Linked DNA regions of Danio rerio. The protein of the gene in region 1 interacts with the protein of each later gene in a biochemical or structural test. Links are inferred from orthologs where the notes say so. Each region holds a gene or a part of one and is shown on either strand. Other genes may lie near its edges. The genes, in order: map3k2 and smyd3.

The links.
Region 2: the proteins of map3k2 (region 1) and smyd3 are reported together in a solved structure, tested with the Homo sapiens proteins (2 studies listed by BioGRID and IntAct, with this or other methods). The link is inferred for Danio rerio from reciprocal best matches to the Homo sapiens genes MAP3K2 and SMYD3.

What each region holds. Positions count from the first base shown.
Region 1 is NC_133181.1:10,478,829-10,482,665, reverse strand, and holds part of map3k2 (mitogen-activated protein kinase kinase kinase 2), read left to right. Parts: intron 1-2,480; coding exon 2,481-2,611; intron 2,612-2,705; coding exon 2,706-2,785; intron 2,786-3,837. UniProt on the Homo sapiens protein: Component of a protein kinase signal transduction cascade. Regulates the JNK and ERK5 pathways by phosphorylating and activating MAP2K5 and MAP2K7. Plays a role in caveolae kiss-and-run dynamics.
Region 2 is NC_133192.1:13,256,277-13,260,676, forward strand, and holds the start of smyd3 (histone-lysine N-methyltransferase SMYD3), read right to left. Parts: upstream 3,095-4,400; 5' UTR 3,041-3,094; coding exon of another isoform or gene 3,038-3,040; coding exon 2,874-3,037; intron 1-2,873. UniProt on the Homo sapiens protein: Histone methyltransferase. Specifically methylates 'Lys-4' of histone H3, inducing di- and tri-methylation, but not monomethylation. Also methylates 'Lys-5' of histone H4.

The DNA.
Region 1 (3,837 bases):
AATTAAAATTCCTATTAGCATGCTTCAGCATATACCTTATTGTAACTGATGTTGTCAAGTTTCACATATATATATATATATATATATATTTGTTTGTGTGTGTGTGTGCGTGTTTTGGTATTTGGTATTTTAAATAAAAAACATTGGATGGAAATGCCTAAATTTGCATAAGATCTTAAATATGTCAGTGCACACAATTTCTTTGTAAATTTCTAAAATAACTGGACTAAACTGTAGACCAACTTTATTGAACAATATTGCAAATTTCGTTTTAAAACCAGAAAGGATAGAAATTGGATCTCAAGGGGATATCTGTCAAAACAAGCCTACATGGCTTCTCGGTGATTCACTAACCCTGAAAAGTGCTAGTCACATGGTCAGAAACACTTGCGCGAATCAAAAATGTCAAAGCAAATTTGCTGTTTGAAGTAATGCTGTTATTACTTCAAACAACAACAGTTGCCATTATCAGTTACTTTTCATATATTAGTATATGTCTTAAAGTTTTAGCGATCTTATAAACTGACATAAAACAAGATTTTAATTTTCTTGTTCCAATTAGGTTCTTTTCTGGAGTTTCAAATATTAATAAATTCAATAATTAATAATAGTAAACAAATTAATTGAAGGAACAAATATGTTGTGTTAAAACAGACTACTGTTTTGCTAGAACAAACTCACAAATTTCAAAAGCATTAATTAATCATTTAATATTATTATTATTAATATTAATATTAATAATAATGAATCATTTCTGTAAACAATTATATACAAACACAGAATTTTTCATTGTATTGCACACCAATAGCGGTCATAATAATGGCCTATTTCCAATTATTTCTTTTTTCTTTTTCTTCATAAGCACTGTGATTCTTGAATTCTTGCTGTTAACACTTCAAAAAAATATTTAAAATACAATATTCAAAGGCTTTTGGCTTTATCCCTCTTATAAACTCAGATATATGAATTTGGACCACAGTTAAATTACAGTATGACCTTGGTGTCTGTCAAAAAAAAAACTCGGCTGGGGATTTTGACATGTATGGTGAGAGAATAGCACTCACATTCTGCATTCAGATTAGCTCGAGAATCCCCTTGAGAAGCAATTACTGTCCAAGTAGTGCTTTTAGTTATTTTCAGTTGCCTGAGTCAAAGCCTGTCATCAAAATGATTTGCTTAAATTACCTATCAGAACTGTCTCACAGGATTGTCTTTTCACATAACATGACAGATAATGACTGTGTTTGTTATTGCGTGTCATCTGCACACTCTGAGGTGCAAGATATTTATTGTGTAGAGAAAAAAAGAGCCTGGCTGCAGTAATTTTTCTATTTTTATTGCTTATAATGTGTGCTTTTCTGAAAAAATGTAGATTTTTATTTTTATTTATTTAAGTTATTTTTTTGTTGTTCTTTTGAGCATTGTAGGAAACATACAAGTTATTAATGCGATATTTACAAGACAAAATGGGACGAAGGAAACGAGATGAAGGAAACGAGACGGCGAAGGAAACGAGCCTCTTCATTTCACCTCTTTCGTTTGTTTTTTTGTTCGTTCATTTCATTCGTCTGGTTTCGTTCATCCGTTTCATTTGTTTTGTGGTTTGTTTGTGTCATCCGTCTGGTTTCATTCGTCTGGTTTCGTTTGTCTCGTTCCATTCGTCTCAACTCGTTTTGTTCATCTTGTTCGTATCATTAATTTTATTCGTCTCATTTCGTTTGTCTTGTTTTGTTCGTCTCAACTCATTTGTCTTGTCTCTTTTCGATTGTCGTTTCGTCCCGTTCTTCTCTTCTTGTTCTGTTTGTCTCGTTTCGTTCGTTTTGCTTTATTCGCCTCATTTCGTTCGCCTTGTTTTGTTGGCCCCCGTTTCGTTCATCTCGTCTTTTTAGTGTAAGTTAACTCCACAACTTTAGTTCAAATCTTTTTATATCTTTTATCCAAATATGGTATTCCTCTCAAAAGGCTTAACATTTTCTTTTTCAACAATGCCCTTCCTACTACTTTTGGTCCATTTTGTTTTAATTATTAAAGTACATTTGTTTTTGTTTTTTGTTGCCTCAAACTAGAATCACAAAATAAATTATGAATATACAAAGTTGAAGTCAGAATTATTAGCTCTCTTGAATTATTAGCCCCCTTTATATATTTTATATCATTTCTATTTACTGAAAAGACATTTTCAACACATTTCTGAACATAATAGTTTTAGTAACTCTTTATCGTAAGCCGTTAAATGACACTAAGCTGAATACTAGTATCTTAATAAAATATCTAGCAAAATATTTTTTACTGTTATCATGACAAAGATAAAAGAATCAGTTATTACAAATATAATATATATATATATTTATTATTATTATTATTATTATTATTATTATTATTATTATTATTTATATTAATATTATTATTATTATTTTTTTTTTATTTTTTTATTTTTACAGTTTTCTGACTTTTCTCAATCTCTTCTTCTTCTTCTCCAGGTTCTCAGTCAACAGATCGCAGCTCCCCTCCTCCAGGTTATATTCCTGATGCTCTGCAGCAGGTGGCCAGAAACGGCTCTTTCACCAGCATCAACAGTGAGGGCGAGTTCATCCCAGAGAGCATGGACCAGGTAATTAGTCTGACAACACTTTGGTTTTAGCTGATGTGAGTGAATTGAACAACAGCATAATCAGATTTATCTTTTCATGTTTTACCTTTTCAAGATGCTGGACCCTTTGTCAATGAGCAGTCCTGAGAATTCAGCATCAGGCAGCTGTCCTTCATTGGACAGTCCACTTGACAGGTTAATAACTAACCAACAAATATAGTACATGCAGCCTATTTTCTATAGGATTGCAGGTTAACAGTGTCTGTTTATAATAACTTATATTTGATTGTAACTTTAACTTAATTTCATTGTAATACAATAATGTGCATCTTTTGTAAAGCTGCTTTGAAACAGTCAGGGCCGCTGCTGGCCAAAAGGGGGCCCTATGCGAAATTTTACTGTGGTGCCCCCACAGAGGAACAAAAACACACAAACATATGTATTTAAACAGGTATTTATTTATTTATATACATAAATATACATTTAAGCACTCAAAATTATACTTAAAACAGTCATATATTTACATTACAAAATAATTGTTTGCATTAAAATAAACATTGACATGTCTTCTGCAGAAACATTCATAATTTCAAACATTTACAAAAGGTAAGAAATAAAACCCTCTCTGTACCTGTAGAGATGGACGGTCCTTAGTACTGCAGCCTCTGTCTGTACCAGTGCAGCTGCTGGTGCCTCTGGAGCAGTGCTGGGGCCTCATGTACGAAGATTTGCGTTGAAATCATACTAAAACATTGCGTACGCACAAAGCTGTAAATGCGCGTACGCAGTAAAAACATCTGATGTATAAAACACTGCGTACGCCGAATTACACACGCATTCTCTTAGTAAATCCGAATGAACGTGAAACTAAACGCAACATGCACGAGCGCAAAACCCCTCCCTGCCTCCTCCCCCGTATATGCTAATATGCTAATGATTCTACTTTGACAAAACCCAACGAAAAAGCAATGGCAAGCTAAAAGAGAAACTTTTTGAACAGAATGTGATTTGGAGGTGCTGCTTTCGGTGGTAGACCAGAGAAAAATTTTGTTCATTGTGTTATAATCCTCCGGAATTAATAACAAAAGAAAAAAAAATAGAGAGGGAGAGTTTAGCTAATCACAGTTGGGTCTAAACATCACACCGAGTGGATTGGAAAAGAATTAGTGCGATGTAGAGGTGTAAAATTTTATAGTATCTTTAACAGCATGAGTGGCGTAGCTCGTAAAACGCATGGCAACATGTTT
Region 2 (4,400 bases), on another chromosome or scaffold:
AGAATATAAAAACTTAATATTGTAACAAAATGTTTGGCAACATTTTAGCAAGTAAATTTTTTTTAAAAATTAAAACAATTAAAACAAAAATAGATACATATAAGAGTAATGTAAATTAAAAAAAATTAATAAGTAAATTTATAAATAAATAAATGTAGTAGTTTATTGATTATGACAAACATAATTTTGTAACAAAACGTTGAAAAAACCCCTTTAGCCTGTTTGAAAACTTAGTCAAGTACATTCAAAAATATGTTAGAATTGTATATTGTAATGTGTATACAGAATATATTGTACTGTGTAATGTAATATTACTATTTAGACGTATAGAGACTATATTAGCAGTAGATTATAAAAACATAACGAAACAAAACCTTTAGCAACATTTTAGCAATCTGATCAAATAAAACAAATTAAATAAAATATAAATGCATATGAGTAATATAAATTAAAAATAAGATTACGTAAATTTGTAATGAAATAAATAAATATATAATGTAGTCTATTGATTATGAAAAACTTAATATTATAACAAAATGTTAAAAAACATTTTAGCCTGTAATATTGTAAACAAATTAAAACAATTGAAACAAAATAAATACATATTACAGTAGTTAAATAAAATTGCTAAATGAATAAATATAGTAGTATATTGATATGAAAAACGTAATATTGTAACAAAACGTAAAAAAAAAAACACTTTAGCCCATTGTAAAAAAAAACAACTTCATAAATAGTCATAAAAATGTGTTAGAAAAGTATATTGTAATGTGAACATAAGTCAGAACTATTAGCCCCCGTTGGAATTTATTTTTAAAATATTTCCCGAGTTATGTTCAACAGAGAAAGGAAATTTTCACAGTATTTCCTAGAATTTTTTTCTTCTAGAGAAAAATCTTAATTGTTTTATTTTGGCTAGAATAAAAGCAGTTTTTAATTTTTTAAAAGTCCTTTTAAAGTCAAAATTATTAGCCCCTTTAAGCTTTTTTTTTCTAATAGTCTACAGAACAAACCATAGTTATATAATAACTTGACTAATTACCCTAACCGGCCTAGTTAGCCTAATTAACCTCGTAAAGCCTTTAAGTGTCCCTTTAAGCTGAATACTAGTATCTTGAAAAATATCTAGTCAAATGTTATTTACTGTCATCATGGCAAAGATAAAATAAATCAGTTATTAGAAATGAGTTATTAAAACTATTATTCAATTCAACTCAGTTCACCTTTATTTGTATAACGCTTTTACAATGTAGACTGTGTCAAAGCAGCTTCACAAAGAAGATTATAGTGAATTGAAACAGTGTAGTTCAGTTCAGTTTAGCTCAGTTCAGTCAGTGTGGTTAATAATCACTACTGAGAGTCCAAACACTGAAGAGCGAATTCATCTATGTGCAGCTCTACAGATCCTGAACCATGCAAGCCAGTGGCGACAGCGGCGAGGAAAAAACTTCACCAATTGGCGAAAGTGAAGAACTAAAAAAACCTTGAGAGAAACCAGGCTCAGTTGGGCACGACCATTTCTCCACTGGCCAAACGTCTTGTGCAGAGCTGCAGACTATTATGTTTAAAAATGTGTTGAAAAAATCTGCTCTTCGTTAAATAGAAAGTGGGGAAAAAATTAACAGAAGGTCTAATAATTCTGACTTTAACTGTATATATAGTGTAATGTTATATTACTATTAAAATATATAGAGAGGACATTAGCAGTAGATTATGAAAAATGTAATGTAACAATGTTTAGCAATATTTTAGCAATTTGATCAACTAAAAAGAATAAAAACAATAAAAAATACACATAATGTGTAATGTAAATTTAACAAACTAATTACGGAAATGTATAAATAAATAAATAAAAAATAAATAATATAGTAGTTTATTGACTATGAAAAACATAATATTGTAGCAAAACGCTCAAATCATTTTAGCCCAAAATATTGTGCAAAAATAAAAACAATCGAAACAAAATAAATACATATTAGAGTAATGTTAAAAAAAAAATAAGAATGCGTATAAATGAATAAATATAGTAGTATATTGATTACGAAAAATATAAAATTGTAACTAAATATTTTTTTAAAATGTTAGCCGGTTGAAAAAAAACAAAGCAAAATACGTTCAAAAACATGTTAGAATTGTATAGTGTAAGGTGGGTGTGTGTGTTATATATGTATTATATAGTGTAATGTTATATTACTATTAAGATATATAGACAGTATATTAATATTAGATTATGAAAAACATAATATAATGTAAAACGTTTAGCAACAATTTAGTGAGTCAAATTTTTGCTAAAATAAAAACAATTGAAACAAATAATGCATAAAGTAATGTAAATAAAAATCATTACGTAATTTGTAAATAAATAAATAAAAAATGGTAGTATATTGATCATGAAAAACTTATTTTAAGTAAAAATAATTTAACAAAACGTAAAAAAAAACATGTTAGCCTGTAATATTGTGCAAAAGTAAAAACAATTGAAACTCAATAAATACATATTAGAATAATTCAAAATAAAAAATGATTTGTAAATAAATAAATATTGTAGTATATTCATTATAAAAAAGGAATATTGTAACAAAACGTTAAATAAAATAGAAATTTACTAAATAAAAATACTTAATAGCAAAGCACAATCAAAAATGTGTTAGAATTGTATATTGTGGTCAACACATTGAAAAGTGTCCATATTAATGCATTCATATACGTACAGTGCAGTATATGCCTAACTTTTCTGAGCACCAAACACATTTAGACATTGACAAACCTGAGAATAAATCATTGACCGGCTGTAACTTAAAGTATAAATTGTATTCTAGCGATTTTTTTCTAACAAAACAAAAATTCAGAGCATAAAAATGTGGTCTTCTTACCTCTTGAGGCAACTTTGACAGGCAGTTTTCAGGAAATCTCTTGCTACGCAGAACGCAAACGGCTTGCATGAATAAATCACCTCACCGGGTTTAATTTCACGCAGAGCACGCAAACCATTGCCTTTACCTTCACTTATAAACCTCTCCATAATCACAGCCTCCATCATTTCATAAAAATATCATCTGCAGTGACCGTCCATGTGTTTGTTCACGGTACATATGAACGCTCTGTTTGTATTTATGACAGTCAACTTTACGCGCCATTACGCAGCTTCTTTAAAACAATCTCATGCTCAAAAAAAGAATGTTTTCACTGAACAACTTGGTTTATTAAGATGGCGTCTACATATATATGAGCGTTTCGTGACAAAATGAATCATAATTGCACCTGTAAATCAAATAAAACAATGATAACATATTTCAAAATGCGTATAAATGACGCAGTTTTGATTTGCATGAAGATGTTTAGACGTCGCGGAGACATGACGTAGATTGTGCGCCTCACCAATGGGATTGCGCAAACTGCAGGTCAACAGCACGCGGAGCTCAATGTCACGGACTCGCGTGTTACGCAGCTTCAATGTGCTACATTAATGTAGATCCCGCGGACAAAAACTGCATCATTTGAGGTTAGTTTGGGTTAAAATAGTGTAAATGTGTAGTCAGCAGTCAGCCATGTCAAATGTTTATTTGAGCAGAGGAGCCTAATAGTTACGTATTCTGCTAACTGTAATGGTGTATCGTCTGATGTAGACAGGATTATAGTCATATCAAGGTTTAAGATGATGTTCAGTGTCGTCAAAAATGTGCTCATCACATTTATGTGCAATAATATAAGATATTAATGTTGAAATGTTACTTGGAGAGAACTTTGGAAATTTTTGTTAAATAATGATGCATAACAGAGTTCCCACAGTCATTTACACCCAGGGAATGTATAATATATATATTTAGTGTTCAGTTATAGAATATTTTATCTGCGGGATACTGTTTTTTTTTTGTAATTGCAGTTTTTATAAACTATAATTTAAGTACATTTTAATCCTTATGTACTGTTGAGGATGTTTTCATCCACTCTATGGCCATAACTTTCTGTTTTGGCTAGTAAAATGATTTTTGGTGACATCTTGTTTTGAGAAAATGCTTTTAATTATTTATTTATTTTTAAATAAGCATTGTACTCTGGGCAAATTTAGTACACAATTACATTTTATATTAGAAATAAGTAATTTTGTCTGTTTTTTTTTCACCAGATCAGTGACGTCATTTATGAATTTGGCAAGAAGAGTTAAAATCCTGTAATATTCTAAGCAATATAGTGGTGGGCTTGATCAGGACTGAGGTTTATTAACAGATTTATGCAAAAAAAAAAAAAAAAATCCCAAACATAACAAAAGGGTAGTAAATTCAATTTGGATAAAGAAGGCGTGTATATATTTGTTAGGTTGACAATTTTAAATAAATTAATTTTATATATGTAATATAAATACTACTGAGCGAAATTAAAACTACAAAGTTAGACATCTT